Linked DNA regions of Callithrix jacchus. The protein of the gene in region 1 binds, or shares a complex with, the protein of each later gene. Links are inferred from orthologs where the notes say so. Each region holds a gene or a part of one and is shown on either strand. Other genes may lie near its edges. The genes, in order: PLEKHM1 and MAP1LC3C.

Region 1 (9,160 bases):
CTCATGTCTGGCTTTGAATAACTCTGGGTAGTACTTTAAATCTAAGCTGACAGGCCAGTGGGGTGTGAACTGTCCTTGCAAACGTTTTGAGCCCTTCCTGCGCTGACCTCCAACTATGCCTTCACAGTTTGTCTTCAGCCCCCCTTCCATTCTGGCCCTCTCCCCTTACCCTTTCCTTTCCTTTTTTTTTTTTTTTTTTTTTTTAAGACGGGGTCTTGCTCTGTCTCTTAGGCTATAGTGCAAAGGCGCAATCTCGGCTCACTGAAACTTCCACCTTCTGGATTCAAGCAATTCTCCTGCCTCAGCTTCCAAAGTAGCTGGGATTACAGGCGCCCATCACTACACCCGAATAATTTTTGTCTTTTTAGTAGAGATGGGGTTTTACCATGTTAGGCTGGTCTCGAACTCCTCACCTCAGGTGATCCACCCACCTTGGCCTCCCAAAGTGCTGGGATTACAGGCATGAGTCACTGCGCCTGGCCACCCTTTCCTTTTTCACTTTCTTTTTTCTTCTTCTTTTTTTTTTTTTTTTGAGAAAGGATCTCACTCTGTTACCCAGGCTGGAGTGTAGTGGCATGATCTTGGCTCACTGCAACCTCTGCCCCCCTGGTTCAAGCAATTCTCCCAAGTAGCTGGGACTGCAGGCACATGCCACCATGCCTGGCTAATTTTAGTATTTTTAGTAGAGATGAGGTTTCACCATGTTGATTAGGCTGGCATCAAACTTCTGACATCAAGTGATCCGCCTGTCTCGGCCTCCCAAAGTGCTGGGATTAGAGGTGTAAACCACCACGCCCAGCCTCCTTTTTCACTTCCTGCCTTCCTCCCCACCTCTGGGTGCACCCTCCTCTGAACTCAACCTGCATTCCTTTCTGCTGGCCACTTACCAGCCAGTCCCTTCATCTGCAATGCGCTTTACTCACCTAGAAAGCTCACATCAAAAGTTGCCTCTTTCAGGATATCTCTCAAATTCTCCTCTCTGGTCCTTTGGCCCTTTGCAGGTACCCTTTTTCTTGTGCAAGTCACATGATAATGTGAGGGTTTTTTTGTTTTTTTTTTTTCCCTATCTGGAGCTTGCCTGGTGGACTCACGGTCCATTTGTGGAAATACGCATTTCCCTCTCCTCCACTTCCCCTCCATGATCCATGCTTCATGCAGCCTCTCCAAGGCATGCAGAACAAGCTAAGAAGAGGTAAATAAGCCTGCAGACGTCTCTTTTTTTTTGAGATGGAATCTTGCTCTGTTGCTCAGGCTAGAGTGCAATGGTATAATCTCAGCTGACTGCAACCTCTGCCTCCGGGTTGAAGCAATTCTCAGCCTCAGCCTCCCGAGAAGCTGGGATTACAGCATGTGCCACCATGTCTGGCTAATTTTTTGTATTTTTAGTAGAGATGGGGGTTTCACCATCTTGGCCAGGCTGATCTTGAACTCCTAACCTTGTGATCTGCCCACCTCGGCCTCCCAAAGTGCTGGGATTACAGGCATGAGTCACCCTGCCTAGCTGCCTGCAGACCTTACAAAGAAGTGAGGTGGCTTGGGAAGTAAGAGAAGACCAGGAGATAGGGGCTCCTAAAAAGCAGGCAAGAGATTACCGAGGGGTCCCCACAGCTCTAGCACATAGCAGCTCCACAAAAATGTGGTGGAATTACTGAGGGACATTATGTGCTTGATGGGGGACAGCAAATGCTTGTGAAGCCACCAAGAATCATGCTGTGCCAGTTGTGACCAGATATACTATCCTTTTGCCAAGGTAAAAGGACTTCCTTACTGAATCCCTTACTTCCCACTTTGTTTAAAACGAGTTTGACACCAAGAGAATAGTTTGTCTCTATGTCCTTATTTCTAGTCTTCCTGCTCAGCCGTGAGCTGTAATAAACACCCTCAGACCCATCTAGCCTAAAATTGAGGAGGGGAGGTTCTCACTCCTGGAGAGAGAATTACTGAAAGGGTGGTCCTCATACAGTCTGGGGTCATATCCCCAAGGGCTGGTTTTATATTTGAAAGCAGGCAGTGGGACTCTGACCTTTGCAGAGATAGGAGGGACACCCTCCTACCCAGAGAGGCCAAAAGAGCACAGGACGGCCAGGCCGAGGGCAGTGAAGCTTTCGTCCAAGAACTGGCCCGTTTCCCAGCCACCGCTGTGCCTATTTAGGACTCGTATGTAACAGTACTTCTCCTCACCCACATTCAGGACCCAGGCTCCCAACTGACCAAAGCCTGCAAGTGTAAGTGTCCAGAGTATGGGTCCCTGACAACATCCCCTGCCCTGCTCTTCACTAGCTGTGGTCACTACTTAGGACATTTTGTTCCAAGTTCATCTGAAAGAGAAATGTCACTTCTAGGATAGAAAGAAGACAGACAGGCCAGGCATGGTGGTTCACGCCAAAATCCCAGCACTTTGGGAGGCCAAGGCAGGAGCACTGCCTGAGGCCAGGAGTTGGAGACCAGGCTAGGCAACACTGTGAGAAACACTGTGAGATCCCTATCTCCCTGACACACACACACACACACACACACACACACACAGACACACACACACACTAGCTGAGCGTGGTGGTGCATGTCTGTAGTTCCAGCTACTTGAGGCTGAAGTGGGAGAACCCTTTAGCCTGTGAGGTCGAGGGTGTGGTGAGCCGTGATGGTGCCACTGCACTCCAGTCTGGGCGACAGAGACCCTGTCTCAAAAACAAAAACAGAAAGGAAGAGAGAAATTCTCTACATGGCTAGAAGAGAATAACCGGGCCCCTAAGCTTCGCGCCACGCGTGGCTAAAGGGAGAGTTAAACACAGGAGAGTGCCCAAGGGGACTTCAAGGCGTTCCCTTGGGATAAGGTGTGCTTAAAACAGCTATGTTTTTCCTGAAAGCGCAAGGCGGTGGCTCCGCCCCAAGGGCTGCACTGCTGCCCTCGGGCAGGCAAAGCTAGGACTGGCATTATTAGTCCCACTCACACATCGGAACTCTTCAACTGAGGGATGCGAAGTGACAGCCCCAATATTGCACAGATGGTGCTGAGGCCAAGCGAGGTCAGGTACCCAGAAGCCAGGATCTAGTCTGACGCAGACCTGCGGGAGGCAAGCGGTACGGAGGCGTTCCTCCTGGCACCGGTGCCTTCGCCTCTCTGCGCCCGGCCGGCGCCCCCGGGTCCGGAGCCTCCCAGACCAAGAATCTGCTCGGTGGTTCGGCTCCCACGGACTTCCGAGAGCAGCTGGCCCCGCCCCAGGACTCCTTCGGGCCCCGCGATTGGCAGCACGGGCCGAGGGCGGGGCTTGGGCGGGTCCGGAGCGCCGAGCGAGCGTGATGGCGTCAGGAGCCGCGGGCGCCGCTTCCTGTTGTCAGTGGCCGAGAGGCCGCATCCTCTGCTCCGAGGCTGAGGGGCTGCTGCAACCGGGAGCGCCCCCCGCCTCGCTCCCTTTTCTGTTTGGTGAGTTAGGGGGTCAAGAGGCGAGAAGGGCGGCGGAGGGGCGGCGGGGCCGAGGCGCGAATGGGCGGGTGGGCCTCCCGCTCCCCCCGCGATCCTCAGCCCTGGTTGCCCTGAGACTGCCCGGCTTCAGAGCCCTCAGCCCTGCCCAGCCCGCGCCCTCCCGGCTCCCACCCAGCCTTCCCCCCGCACCGCCGCTGCGCGCCCTTCCGCCCGGTCTGTTCCACCCCAAGCCCGCTCCCGCATCCCCTCACCAGCGGTCTTGCGTAAATGCAGCTTCACTAGTGACCCCACTTTACCCCAGTTCCAACCCCGATCTCGGCCACGTCCTTTCGCCTCTCCCTGACACACCTCGTCCTCTCTCCCGACCCCTCTGGTAACCCCGGTGCTCCGCGCTCACCTCCCCGAGACCCAGTATTCGGGTTTCCCCTTTTCTGGCTCAGCTTTCTTATCCCAGTCACCCGCATCACCTGTCCAGCTCCCCAAGATCTGCTGATCCCAAACACTCTACCTCTGCCCCTTCTCATCTAAGGCCCCTCCCCCAAAGTAGGTGCCCTGTTGAGCTCACCGCTTTCTTCTGGATAACTCTATCTCAGCCTTATTCCAAGTCTTAACTGTGTCTTCTCGTCTTAGTCTCCTAGCCCACTGTATACTTCCTTTCCGACTCTTGCCGTCCTGAGGACATCAATCCCTAAGTCTTTGCTAAACTGTCCTGAACTCTTGCTGCCTCCTTTCTTACCACCCTCACCCAATCTGGTTAAAAATGACATCTCCATGTCCTTTCACCCTCCCTGACTCCACCGCAGCTCTTCACCCCAACTCTGCGTCCATTCCTTTCCTCGACCCAACTCCCATTCAATCTGAGAACCTGGTGCAGAGTCTCCTGCCAACTCCACCAACAGCCTCAACAGCCAAATGTAGGTGCTCACTCAGACTGGCAGTTAGAGACTGAGCAGTGTGATTGGTGGGCCTAGGGCCTCAGGTGGTAAATGAGGTTGGAGGAGCAGTGGGCTCTCCCCAAATAGTGGATTGGGCCAGAAGGTTTTCCTAGCGTTTGGTCTCCTGTACCTGTCCGCAGCAACTGTGTTTCTGGCATTCATATTAAATGACTTGTGCTGGCTGCTGGAATGGTAGGTATCATTCAAACACCTGGAAGGTGAGAGATGGCCACTCACTCAGCTCACGTAGCATAGGATGATGGAAGTTATCACTTCCTTCTAGCTGCTGTTCTGGCCCTGGAGAGCCTCTGGGAGGTTTTTTAAGGGCCCTAAAGAACATTGTCTCTGCTGTGGTCACAGAACATTGTCCGTGTTCCTTTTTCTGGTGCTTGTAAGGGCCTCTCCCTGCCAGAGCTGATGGCAGATCAATCCTGATGCTGAATTCAGGGGACACGATGGATGCCAGAGGCAGTGTTACCTGTTGTGAAGAGTATAGGCGAGTAGGTCCTGGGGAGACTGAGGCCTAGGAGGTACAGAGGCTCTTGAATCGCCTTCTTTTCTTGCAAGTGCTGGCTCATTGACTTTTGGCCATTTGGATTCCATGAACACAGGGAACCACATTATCTCAGAGTAGCTGAGGCAGAAGAGTATCTCAGAGGCACCCAAGTCCCATGCTCAGCATTTATAGTTTCCTGAGGGCTTTTGGGGACACATTTTCTCTGAATCCTGAGGACCCAGCATGAGATGGGTGGGCCATTTGACCACAGTTTTAAAGGGTCCTAAAGAACATTGTCTCTGCTTGCCGTTTATAGTCTTACTCCTTTGAAAACGAAATGCTGTTTACCTTCAATGTCCTTCTATTCATATGCAGGTTATTTAAGTTGTTTTCAGCCTTATTGGCAGCTTGGCTTAATGGAAGGAGGTCCACAGTGGCCCCAGCACTTAAGAGTTACATACCCCAACTTCCCAGTGTGTGAAATGGAGATACTTGCCCTGTGCCTTGTTTTTATTTTATTAATTGGTTCATTCAACAGCTTATTTTTTGAGCACCAGTGTGTGCCAAGCACTGTTCTAGGTACAGTGGTGACTGGGTCAGGCAACTTTCCTGTTTTCATTCATTTAGAGTTTGGTCCTTGTTAGAATCCTCTGGGATATGGGACAAGAATATAGGGAAGATAGGTGTTATTGGATGGAAGGAAGGAGGGAGGAAAGAAAGATTCCCAGTGTTCACTGACTCCAGTTCTGCCCTCATCCACTAGCCCTGAGTCTGGGAATCACAAGCTACAAGTTTCTCACCCTTCATCTGGTATTTAATTGCTTCAAAGCTCCAACCCCCCACCATTCCATCCATCACAGAAATCCAGCTTTCCTCAGGTGGACAGAGTTGCTGTTTCCTCAGTCAGCACTCACATGCCTGAAGGATCAGCTGCCTTTCTGAATCAGAAGATAACTTTGTCATTCTTTTCCAATGGAAAAAACATGACTCATCAATTGGTACAGCAGCTGGGTGGCTTAAAGCCAGGCTGTGGCTCTGAACAGCCAGGTACACAATTCAGTGGTGAGAAGGCAGTGGGGAATGGCTGAGAAGTCCCTCAAGAGAAGAGGCTGCTGTTCACTGATAGTTGAGTGTTTTGAGAGTGGTGAAGCCAGGTTATCTTTCTTCTTTTAATGTAAGTCTCATCTAAGTAATTCTCTTTTTTTCTTCCTTGATATCTGTAGGAAGTGAAATTGGACATATAGAGAAGGCCAGGCAGTGTAATGAAGGAAACCAACTGGAACTGTTCCTTCCTGTGTTGAAACATTGAAGAAAGTATAGCTCTGAGGCTTTGGGAGCATTGGTAGGACCTGGGTTCGGCTGGTTGGGGCTATAAATCTGATCGGCAGAACTGTTTCTTGTTGGTTTTAGACCTTCTGTGATAAAATGGAGCTTCCAAGTACCTCTGAAGAGGAAGTTACAGCTTGCCTGAAATTCTCTGAGCCAAAGACCTGAGGCCGTTTAGTCCAGGGAAAGATGCAAGAGTTGGGATGAAGAAACCAGAGAGTTCTGTCCCTTACCTGAGGCTCATTGCTACTGAACCTCAGTTTTGCCCATGACCCATGACATAGTCCTGGGAGGTCCTGAGAACAGGTGCCCAGGGTGATTGGGTTACAGCTTGCTTTTATCCAAGGTACTGGCAGAAGTTACAGGCAAAGACATAAATTAGTACATGTAAGGTATACATTGATAGGGGCAAGGTAAGGTGAGTTAAAAGATTTCCTGATTGGCAATTGGTTGAAAGAGTTAAACTTTGCCTAAGGAGTTGAAGTCAACGGAGAGAAATGCTTGGAGTTAAGATAAGGTGGGTTGTGGAAGCCAAGGTGTAGATGAAGCCTTCAGGTAACAGGCTCCAGAGAAAATAGACAGTACGTGTATTTTATCAGACCCTAAAAGGTGTGGGACTCTTAGTTAAATCTCTCCTAGATCAGTAAAAGGCCTAGAAAGGTAAGGGAATCTCTGCAGGATATAAATTTTCCCCACAAGAGGTGGCTTTGCAGGGCCATTCCAAAATATGTCAAATACACATATTTGGGGGTAAAATACTTTGATTTCCTTTAGGGCCAGTTATCTCTCATGTGATGTTAGACCAGAGTCAGGTTGGAGTTGGTATCTTCATTGCTAAGGGTCTGTCCTGTGAGTCTTAGGATTCCAATGCTGGTCAGTTGTGTCTAAGCTCCAGAAGGGAGAGGCTATCATGAGGCATGGCCCATGCCCCACTTCCTGTCATGGCCTGAACTAAGTTTTTAAGTTTTTTCAAAATCCCTTTGGCCAAGAGGGAATCCATTCAGGCAGTTGGGGGATGTAGAATTTTATTTTTGGTTTACAGCACTGACTCAGGAATTGGGGTTATTCTAGGGCTGAGTTGGCTTCCTCCTGGGGGCTGGTGGTGGAGTCGGGCCACTTATCAGCCCTGGGACCTCAGGAACTTCCTTAACCTGGGTCAGTTGTCTTTCTGTATCTGTCAGGTGGAGATAATAAAACAGCACTTCTAGGGTGTTTAGGAGGGATATCAATTAGCAATATAAGTAAAGAGAGCCTTGGTTTTGTTAACTTCTTTGTGCCATTATTTTTTGAGAGCCCAGACAGCCATCCCTTTCCTGGTGTTCCCCTGATGCTCAGCCAGGCATTCGCTAGAGATTTGTTAAGATGTGAATGTGCCTGCCTAGCCTAGGTCTGCCCAAGTTGCTGGGATGGGGCCACCAGCCAGCAGCCCCCTCAGGCTCAGGCCAAAGTCCTCACCCCACCCCACCCATTCCCAGGGGAAATCCGGCAGCCCTGAGGGATTGAACCACTCACTGACTTCAGCTCTTCCTGCATATTCATTTGGACGTGGCATTCTTGGTCTGTAGATGTAGGTGGTCATATCCACTGGGATGACAGACACCAGGTATAGGTACTCATCAGGCCCTGTGACAGGCGTTTTACACATTCTCCATCTAAGAGGTCTGCGCATGCCTACCTGGTTAGTGGCAGATTGCAATGAGACCTCGTGGTTGTTGCGATTAGACGTGCCTCTGTATGCTACTCAAGCCAGACCCTTGAAGCCTAAAGGAGAAGAAGTGTAGCAAGGGAGCCCTTTCTTTTCAAAGCCATTCCAGTTGTACTTTTTACTGCTGAGCTGGCAGACATTGGACTGGGACAAGCGTGAGGGGTGGGGGCAGGGTGTTGCAGGACCCAGCCCCTGAATGTAACTTGTAAGCCCCTGCTTCCTGGTCCCAGTGGGTTCCTTCCGCCTTCAGCTGCATCCTCCGCTTTGAACCCACAGTTCTGTATCTGCATCAGCCTGTCGTTCCCTGCTTACAGGTTTCGATCCTACAGGGCCCTGGCTTTCCGGGCAGCATTTGATGTGAATTGCCTTTACCACTTACTTCTTGGGGTGGACCCACCTCTGGCACCCAGGACTCCTTGCCTCCCAAGGACTGAGCCCTCTGGGCTCTCCTTCCTTCAAATCCACTCTCAGTTTTTACTTTTGTGTTGAGTGAGAGGGGCTGACCTCCTACTGCTTGCTGGGAATGGACTCTGCCTGGTGGGGAGCTGGCTGCCCATTCATCTGGCTGCCATCTGTCTCTTCAGGTGTTATGTGATTCTCCGAGGGAGCAGTTCTGTGAGTGGAGATGCTCTCAGTGGTGGAGAATGGACTGGACCCCCGGGCTGCCATCCCGGTAGGTGGGCAAAAGAGGATTAAGGGTGGGGAAGGGCTGCAGGGGACAGTCATTTCTTTGGCTTGGCTCACTTCGAAATGAATAGGCACTGCCCTGCAAGAGAGGCCAGGTAGAGGAAAAAGTTACAACACAAGCAGGCTCTGAGGAGACCCTGTCCTTTCTAGATTACCTTATTGGTGGTAAGATGGGAATTTACAAAAAGCAGTGGGAATTTAAGATCAGTTACCTGAAGACCAAGGATTTCCATTCAGCCCTGTGCCCTTAGGCCATGATTTGGTCACAGGCTGGTCAGTGCATTGAATTAGGTGGGAAACAGATATTCCCAGGCACTAGTTTGTTGTTTCAGTAATGGGGGTAAGTTGGTTAACTTACATGTATCTGAACATTTACCGTGTTCTAGGATTTTCTAAATGTAATTATTTGTGATCAGTTCACCAGAGCCCCCTAGGACTGTCTCTTGGAGAACCCACTAGGATGGCTGTCATAAAAAGTCAGTAACTAGGTGCTGGCAACAATGTGGAGAGACTGGGACTCATATTGCTGGTGGGAAGGTAAAATAGTGCAGCCACTTCGGTTAACAGTTTGGCAGTTTCTCAATAAGTTA
Region 2 (9,318 bases), on another chromosome or scaffold:
TAGACCTCCTAATGAAGCGAGGGCACTCTTCTGCAGCTGTTCTCCACAGGACTGTTCCTATTTCCTTCTCCGCAATCCACGTAGCATCCACAGTACGTGGCTTTGGTCACCTCTAAGCCACCTAGGTCCCATTCCATTGCCAGAGGAGCACTGGCTGGGAGGATGATGCGTCCAGACGACACCCCAGACACTGCTCCCCTCAAAATGGCTTTCAACCCAAAAGAAAAGAAAAGCCTGGGTGTGGTGGTTCACGCCTGTAATCCCAGGACTTTGGGAGGCTGAGGCAGGTGGATCACAAGGTCAGGAGTTCCAGATCAGCCTGGCCAATATGGTGAAACTCCATCTCTCCTAAAAATACAAAAATTAGCTGGGCTTGGTGGCAGGCGCCTATAATCCCAGCTACTCGGAAGGCTGAGGCAAGGGAATTGCTCAAACCCAGGAGGCAGACATTGCAGTGAGCCAAGATCATGCCACTACACTCCAGCCTGGTAACAGAGCAAGATTCCGTCTCAAAAAAAAAAAAAAAGAAAAGAAAAGAAAAAAATGATCTGGGCTGGGCATGGTGACTCATGCCTGGAATCCCAGCACTTTGGGAGGCAGAGGCGAGTGGATCATGAGGTCAGGAGACCGAGACCAGCCTGGCCAACATGGTGAAACCCCATCTCTACTAAAAATACAAAAATTAGCTGTGTGTGGTGGCTCACGCCTTTAGTCCCAGCTACTGGGGAGGCTGAGGTAGGAGAATTCCTTGACCTGGACCCAGGAGGCGGAGGTTGCAGAGAGCCAAGATTGTGCCACTGCACTCCAGCCTGGGCTACAGAATGAGACTCCATCTCAAAAAAAAAGAAAGGCCGGGCACGGTGGCTCATGCCTATAATCCCAGCACTTTGGGAGGACAAGACAGGTGGATCACAAGGTCAAGAGATCGAGACCATCCTGGTCAACATGGTGAAACCCCGTCTCTACTAAAAATACAAAAATTAGCTGGGCATGGTGGCGCGTGCCTGTAGTCCCAGCTACTCAGGAGGCTGAGGCAGGAGAATTGCCTGAACCCAGGAGGCGGAGGTTGAGGTAAGCCGAGATCACGCCATTGCACTCCAGCCTGGGTAACAGGAGTGAAACTCTGTCAAAAAAAAAGAAAGAAAGAAAGAAAGGTTCTTTAGTGCAGAACACTGCATACCTGCTGCTTAATAGTCACACCTGACAGCATACCTCTTTTTTAAGACAGGGAAAGAGGATGAGGCCACTTATCTCTTCAGTGATGCCATTATTTTTATTTGTTTTTTATTCATTTATTTTTTTATTTTTATTTTGAGATGGAGTTTTGTTCTTGTTGCCCAAGCTGGAGTGCAATAGCGTGATCTCAGCTCACTGCAACCTCCATCTCCCCCCGGGTTCAAGTGATTCTCCTGCCTCAGTCTCCCGAGTAGCTGGGATCACAGGCATGTACCACCACACCCAGCTAATGTTTGTATTTTTTTTTTTTTTTTTTTTTTGAGACGGAGTTTCGCTCTTGTTACCCAGGCTGGAGTGCAAGGGCGCGATCTTGGCTCAACGCAATCTCCGCCTCCTGGGTTCAGGCAATTCTCCTGCCTCAGCCTCCTGAGTAGCTGGAATTACAGGCACGCGCCACCATGCCCGGCTAATTTTTTGTATTTTTAGTAGAGACGGGGTTTCACCATGTTGACCAGGATGGTCTCCATTAATGTTTGTATTTTTAGTAGAGACAGGGTTTCACCATGTTGGTCAGGCTGGTCTTGAACTCCTGACCTTGTGATCCACCTACCTCGGCCTCCCAAAGTGCTAAGATTACAAGTGTGAGCCACCTCGTCCTGCGTGTATTTTTAGTTGAGATGAGGTTTTGGTATGTTGGCCAGGCTGGTCTCCAACTCCTGACCTCTGGTGATCCCCCAGCCTTGGCCTGCCAAAATGCTAGGATTATAGGCGTGAGTCACCATGCCTGGCACAGGGGGTTAATTTCTAAGGCCTTGTGATATTGAGAAATACATTTTGTTTTCATCAAATTTCCTGGCATACAACTTCTTAAAATTCTTGGAATTTTCTTTGTTTTTGTTTTTGAGATGAAGTCTCACTCTCTTGCCCAGGCTGGAGTGCAGTGGTGCAATCTCAGCTCACTGCAACCTCCACCTCCTGGGTTCTCATGATTCTCCTGCCTCAGGATCCTGAGTAGCTGGGACTATAGGTGCCCACTATCACACCTGGCTAGTTTTTGTATTTTTAGTGAAGACAGGGTTTCACCATGATGGCCAAGCAGATATGGGACTCCTGACTGCAGGTGATCCACCTGCCCTGGCTTCCTAAGGTGCTGGGATTACAGGCATGAGTCACCTGGCCTGGTGATAAGTGTCTTTTTTAACGTTCATGAGTTGACCGATGGCTGGCAGTCCCTGGATAGCTTCTGGATGGGGGCTGGTCACCAGAAAGACAAAGGTGAGATTAGAGGGTTGGAATTTTTAGCCCCACCTCCAGCCTCTGGGGAGGGTAGAGGGGTTGGAGGTTAAATTGATTATCAGTGGCCAACGGTTTAATCAATCTTGCGGATGTACTAAAACCTCTATAAAAACCCAAAAGGCCTAGGGTTCTGATTTTTGTTATGAGAATATAGGAGAAATGGCATTTGTTCCCTCTATGTATGACTAGAGGCCCATTTTCTTAACTCTAAAAGGGAGATCTTGGGGGCAGTTGTTCTTCCTTCCTTCTTTTATCCCAGAGAAAACTAAATGACAAAATATACCTACCAGAGTGTTGTACTTGGACTTCCTTGTGACAACTCTGGGTTTGTTCGGGTTTTTGCTTGTTCGTTTGTTTGAGATGGAGTTCCATTCTTGTTGCCCAGGCTGAAGTGCAATGGTTGGACCTAAGCTCACTGCAACCTCCACCTCCTGGGTTCAAGTGATTCTCCTGCCTCAGCCTCCCAACTAGCTGGGATTATAGGCTCCTGCCACCACACCTGGATAATTTTTGTATTTTTAGTAGAGACGGGGTTTCAGCATGTTGGCCAGGCTGGTCTCAAACTCCTGACCTCAGGTGATCTACACACCTTGGCCTCCCAAGTGCTGGGATTACAGGCATGAGGCACTGCGCCTGGCCGACAACTATGGGTTTTAATCCAAACTGCATCTGTGTAGCTGTGTGCCCTCGGCCAAATCGTTTCACCTTTTTTTTTTTTTTTTTTTTTTTTTGAGGCAAGTCTTACGCTGTTGCCCAAGCTAGAATGCAGTGGTGCAATCTTGACTAATCACAACCTCCACCTCCCAGGTTCAGGCGATTCTCCTGCCTCAGCCTCCCAAGTAGCTGGGATGACAGGTGCTCACCACCATGCCCAGCTAATTTTTGTATTTTTAGTAGAGACAGAGTTTCACTATGTTGGCCAGACTGGTCTCGAACTCCTGACCTCCTGATCTGCCTGCCTCAGCCTCCCAAAGTGCTGGGATTACAGGTGTGAGCCACTGCGCCCGGCCTCACTTCACCTTTCTTAGTATAGGTTTCCTTCTGTGAAAAGGGCACGGACTGTGGTGAGAATTACACAGCACACTTCAGGCTGAGGTGGATCCATCTTGGACTCCTCTCAAGGTGGTTCTCTACTGAAGTACAGAAACGTCGCCAGCATAAGGCAGTTTTACGTCTCCACGGTCCGCTGCCTAGCCAATGATTTTATTACAAACCCTAATTTCTTTTGCAAAGAAACATCTTGAACTGGTCATGAATAAAGTGGCTTTTCTCTGACCAGCAAGTAGGTGGCGATTCCATTTCCACCAGAACTGACCTCGTGCTGCTCGGGGAGGGGGAGGCGGGTGAGCAGAGGCCTGATGTCACTCAGCTCTACATAAGGGCCCCCTGCAGGCTCCTGCAGGCAGTTTGGAAGCAGCTGGAGGAATGAATTAGGTTCCTGGTTGCAGTACTTTTGTTCTTCTTTTCTTTTCTTTCTTAAAACAGACAAAGCTGTTGAGTGAAATGCCGCCTCCACAGAAAATCCCAAGCGTCAGACCTTTCAAGCAGAGGAAAAGCTTGGGTAAATTTCTTGGGGTACCTTTCTGGGTTACTCGAAAGAGAGGAGAGGATCTGGCTTTCTCTTGATGTTTGCTTATTCTCTTGTGCTTGAAATATTCACAGCAATCAGACAAGAGGAAGTTGCTGGAATCTGGGCAAAGTTCCCAAACAAGATCCCGGTAAGACATCATTGTACTTCCCTTGTGGGGGGCGGGGTTCTGAACCTGTCCTTTGAAAAAACCAAGACCAGCCAACAACTTCCCTCTCTCTGTTCCAAGATCCTAAGACTCAGAGAACTCTGAGTCACATTCTTAAGGACTGACGCTCTTGACAGGTGATAGTGGAGCGCTACCCCAGGGAGAAGTTCCTGCCCCGGCTGGACAAAACCAAGTTCCTGGTCCCGCAGGAGCTGACCATGACCCAGTCCCTCAGCATCATCCGGTAGGTGGCGCAGAGCGTGCCCGGGAGGAAGGTGTCGGGGGTGTGTGGGGGCTCTTCTGTTTCCTTCGTTAGGTGGTTTTATTTTGGGGATGGGGGTATGTCAGGGAAAGAGAGGAAAGAGATTTTTTTGAAGTCATCTTTCAGATTCACTAGTGCCCTGAAAAGATGCTCTTAGAATAATTCTATTTTAAATCCGGGTGCACCGACTCATGCCTGTAATCCCAGCACTTTGGGAGGCTGAGGTTACGAATTCGAAAACAGCCCAGCCAACATGGTGAAACCCTGACTCTACTAGAAATACAAAAATTAGCTGGGTGTGGGGGTGCACGCCTGTAATGCCAGCTGCTCAAGAGGCTGAGGCAGGAGAATCGCTTGAACCTGGGAGGCAGAGGTTGCAGTGAGCTGAGATTGCACCGTTGCACTCCAGCCTGGGCAACAAGAGTAAAACTCCATCTCAAAAAAAAAAAGAAAGAAAGAAAAAATTACTCTATTTTATTTTACACAAAGATGGCTGTATAATTGTCAGTGACCAAACCTTTGGGGTTATTTGGGGAGGAGTTATCTGGGTGTAAAATGAATTGGATTCTAGTTACTCCCATCTCCCACTGCTGCATGGACATAGCCCACCTGAAGGCTCAAAGCTCTAAGATAGGAATGGGTGGGCTGTGCCCGCTTCACCAATTAGAGCACCTGGAGGAAGTGTGCTTAAAGTGAGGCCAAGCCTTCACCTAGGCACCTACGTTTTCACACTGCCATCTGCTCCGGGATAACTGGGCACTCAGATTGCCCTTGGCATTTGAAGCGTGTTCAACTAAATATGGCTGCCTTCCTATCGCCTTGATGTGAACGCAGAAATAACACAGGAAGGAAAGGGCACACTTCAAGGCAGGAGATCCCTTCCAAGTGTCATCCTAGGCTGTTCAACAGTGACATGCCAGGCCGGGCGCAGTGTCTCGAGCCTGTAATCCCAGCACTTTGGGAGGCCAAGGCAGGTGAATCACCTGACATCAGGAGTTCAAGACCAGTCTGGCCAACATGGTGAAACTCCGTATCTTCTAAAAATGCAAAAACTAGCTGAATGTGGTGGCACACGGCTGTAATCCCACCTACTTGGGAGGATAAGACAGGAGAATCGCTTCAACCTGGGTGGTGGAGGTTACAGTGAGCTGAGATCACACCATGGCACTCCAGCATGGGCAACAGAGTGAGTGAAATTCCATCTCAAAAAAAAAGTGAGATGCCAGAGAGACTATGTATCACTTTTGTACCCCTGGGGAAACAGCTTTAATTTCATAGCAAACAGAAGTTATTTACTTAACTTTTTTTTTTTTTTTTTTTTTTGAGATGGCGTCTGGCTCTGCCACCCAGGCTGGAGTGCAGTGGTGTGATCTCCGCTCACTGCAACTTCTGCCTCCTGGGTTCAGACAATTCTCTGCCTCAGCCTCCCAAGTAGCTTACAGGTGCCCACCACCACGCCCGGCTAACTTTTGTATTTTTAGTAGAGACGGGGTTTCACCGTCTTGGCGAAGCTGGACTTGAACTCCTGACCTTGTGATTCCCCCGCCTCAGCCTCCCAAAGTGCTGGGATGACAGGCCTGAGCCACGGCGCCTGTCCAGCGCGCTTAGCAGGTTTGTGTCGTCATCTTTCCCTGCTGTGTTTCCTCGTCGTGTTTTGGCATATTTCATCCATGGAATGACCTCACCCTTTTGACCCAACTACGACTCCTTGTAGTTTCTAAATCTCAGGGAAGAAGGAGGGAGCAATTCCCTCTTCTTGAGCGTCATGATGCTGCAGATCCCTGGGCTGCCTCACAGGTCACCCCCTCACCACCCTCCTGCCCACCCCAGGAGCCGCATGGTCCTGAGAGACACAGAAGCCTTTTACTTGCTGGTGAACAACAAGAACCTGGTCAGCATGAGTGCAACCATGGCAGAGATCTACAGGGACTACAAGGATGAGGACGGCTTCGTGTACAAGACCTACGCCTCCCAGGAGACGTTTGGCTGCCTGGAGTCATCAGCCCCCCTGGGATGGGAGCAGCCTTGAGGACAGACCCTGCAATCCTCTCTAGCCCATGTGGGGAAGAACAGGTGCTCTGACAGACGTATCAGCCGCTGGCAGAAGGGATTGGATTTCTCCTGTATGTATATGGAGGAGTCTGAGAAGCAGGGATGCTGGGAGTGATCAGGTCCAGCTATTGGCAGCAGAGTGGTGGCTCTTCCTAGTTTAGTTTTTGTGCTCCATGCTCTTGTGTTCTTCTAAGAAAAATGTGGGCTGCTCTTGAAAGTTTTGTAATTATAACTCTTTTTTTTTTGAGACAGGTTCTTGCTCTGTTGCCCAGGCTGGAGTACAGTGGCACGATCTTGGCTCACCACAGCCTCTGCCTCCTGGGTTCAAGGGATTCTCCTGCCTCAGCCTCCTGAGTAGCTGGGATAACAAGTGCATGCCACCACACCAGGCCAATTTTTGTAATTTTAGTAGAGACGAGGTTTCACCACATTGGCCAGGCTGGTCTCAAACTCCTGCCCACAGGTGATCCACCCACCTCTGCCTCCCAAAGTGCTGAGATTACAGGTGTGAGCCACTGCATCCAGCCATATAACTCTATTCTAAATAAGAAATGGTTGGCTTGTGTGATGGCTTTGTGTGATGAGCTGGAGATAATATTTTTCAAGTGTCTTCTGTGCTATATGTGGGAGGGCCATTGGGGAGTGGATTTCACTCCCTGCATGTAGGCAGGGATGCCCTGCAGGGCTCAGGCCTAGAGAACCTCCAGCCTGTAGACTGCCTCTGTGGAACCCAATGAAGCCAGTGTGACCCATGATAAGCTCACCTGGAGGCGCCCTCTCCTGTGTCATTAGAGAGATTATCCTGTTTCCCCAGCGTTCACTCTATGTGGTTATTTTCTCTTTTTGTCCTGCTATACCAGACATATTTATGCCAAAGCTGTAACTTCTCAACATAGTCATTTAAATGCACATGTTTACTAGGTGCCAAGCTTTACTCTGAAATAAACATTCTTTATTTTAAAGGAGCTTTATTCTTCGGCTTCTTACCACAACTCTCTATGGCTAACTACTGCTACAGTTGCCCACACAATGGGTGGGTGTGATCGCTTGGTGGGTGACGTCCACTGACTACCACCACGGAGGATGTAGCGAGGGGATGCATTAATTCTCACAAGTCAGGAGGGCACTGGGGATAGTTCCCACCGCAGTGCCTCCGGGAACAAAGGTGAACACAGGGCACTCACTGGGCTGGTTAGCTGAGTCACCGTATGCAGAGGCGGAGTCAAGGAGTGCAGGCGCAGTCACCGATCATGCCTCTCCACAGGCTGCAGGTACAGAGAATGGCGAATAATCCTGAGGAGTAGGTAAGGAGACATGAAAATGGCGAATAAGCTTCTCCTTAGAAGGGAATTTTTTTCCTCCATTAATGAGCCTTTTTATTATTGTCATGGTTTTTTTTAATTTTTTGGCTTTGTTTTGTTTTGTTTTTTGAGACAAAGTTTCACTCCTGGTGCTGAGGCTGGAGTGCAGTGGCGGGATCTCGGCTGACTGCAACCCCCACCTCCCAGGTTCAAGTGATTCTCCTGCCTCAGCCTCCCGAGTAGCTGGGATTACAGGTATTTGCCACCACGCCCAGTTAATTTTGTATTTTTACTAGAGATGAGGTTTCTCCATGTTAGTCAGGCTGGTCTTGAACACCTGACCTCAGGTGATCCGCCCACCTGGACCTTGCAAAGTGCTGGGGTTACAGGCATGAGCCACCACACCTGGCTTTTTAAATTTTTTAATCGTAGGTTCCTTACTGGTTTTGCTTCCATGAGTGGCTGTGACCAGGGGAAAAGGGTGAGGAACGAGCTGGCAAGGAGGCGTCATCTCCACAACATTCCATTTATACACAAAACTAGACAAGCATAGAGTCACTATTGTGGTTAGAAGTTGGCAGCATGGGGCCGGGTGCAGTGGCTCACGCCTGTAATCCTAGCACTTTGGGAGGCCGACGCAGGCAGATTACCTGAGCTCAAGAGTTCCAGATCAGCCTGGGATACATTGTGAAACCCCAACTCTACTAAAATACAAAAACTTGGCCGGCTGTGACAGTGCATGCCTATAGTTCCAGCTACTGGAGAGGCTCAGGCAGGAGAATCGCTTGAACCTGGGAAGCGGAGGTTGCAGTGAGCTGAGATCACACACCGCACTCCGGCCTGAGCAACAGAACGAGACTCTGTCTCCAAAAAAAAGTTAACAGCATGGGAAGGGGGAGGAACAGGGAGGGAGTAGGGTGTTGTTAAAAAAAGAAAAAAACAGGCCTCCTCACAACTGGGGTACCTGGAGGGAGCTTGGTCTGCTTCAACCCAAGAGGAATCAGAAGATCTAAAGCAGTTTAGGAAGGCTGGAACTGCCAGGACTGAAGGGAGGAAAATCCAGGGAGTAGGGGGGTCTGTTTGGTAACCGGGTGAAGGGATTGCCCTTCCCCTACTGGGATGCCCCCAGCCCCTCCAGTCTGGCAGGAAGGGGGCAGGCTGCAACCCCTGAGGGCAGGTGTGGGGCTGCCAGATGCTCCAGGCAGGGGGCCAGAAGGGGCTCATAAAGGCGTGCTTCCAGGGAGATGATGGCACTGCCTCCCCTAGCCTCTCTGCTAGGATGCAGTGGGCCTTGACCTCCTCGTAGCAGTCTGCTTGTAATGCATGCTTGATCCCTGTCAGCTTCATGATGGCATTTTTGGAGCTGGCATAGATCATTTTGCTCATAAGGGGTGCAGACTCAGAGGCCCGGAATATAAATACCAGGTCCTCCTTCTTGCTCTCCCTGCTCTCGTAGATTGCCTCATAGAGGGCATAGCGGCAGTCCTAATCTGGC

The links.
Region 2: the proteins of PLEKHM1 (region 1) and MAP1LC3C are in contact, whole or in part, in a crystal structure (PDB 5DPW), measured with the Homo sapiens proteins. The link is inferred for Callithrix jacchus from reciprocal best matches to the Homo sapiens genes PLEKHM1 and MAP1LC3C. Residues at the interface, in NP_055613.1 of Homo sapiens: Glu632, Asp633, Glu634, Trp635, Val636, Asn637, Val638, Gln639, Tyr640; in NP_001004343.1 of Homo sapiens: Phe13, Arg16, Lys17, Glu25, Ile29, Phe33, Lys36, Pro38, Asp54, Lys55, Thr56, Lys57, Phe58, Leu59, Val60, Pro61, Glu63, Leu64, Ile72, Arg76, Phe114.

What each region holds. Positions count from the first base shown.
Region 1 is NC_133506.1:85,866,319-85,875,478, reverse strand, and holds the start of PLEKHM1 (pleckstrin homology domain-containing family M member 1), read left to right. Parts: upstream 1-3,314; 5' UTR 3,315-3,421; intron 3,422-8,467; 5' UTR 8,468-8,508; coding exon 8,509-8,556; intron 8,557-9,160. UniProt on the Homo sapiens protein: Acts as a multivalent adapter protein that regulates Rab7-dependent and HOPS complex-dependent fusion events in the endolysosomal system and couples autophagic and the endocytic trafficking pathways.
Region 2 is NC_133520.1:43,981,350-43,990,667, forward strand, and holds MAP1LC3C (microtubule-associated protein 1 light chain 3 gamma), read left to right. Parts: upstream 1-3,876; 5' UTR 3,877-3,975; coding exon 3,976-4,033; intron 4,034-4,134; coding exon 4,135-4,190; intron 4,191-4,345; coding exon 4,346-4,452; intron 4,453-6,300; coding exon 6,301-6,499; 3' UTR 6,500-7,484; downstream 7,485-9,318.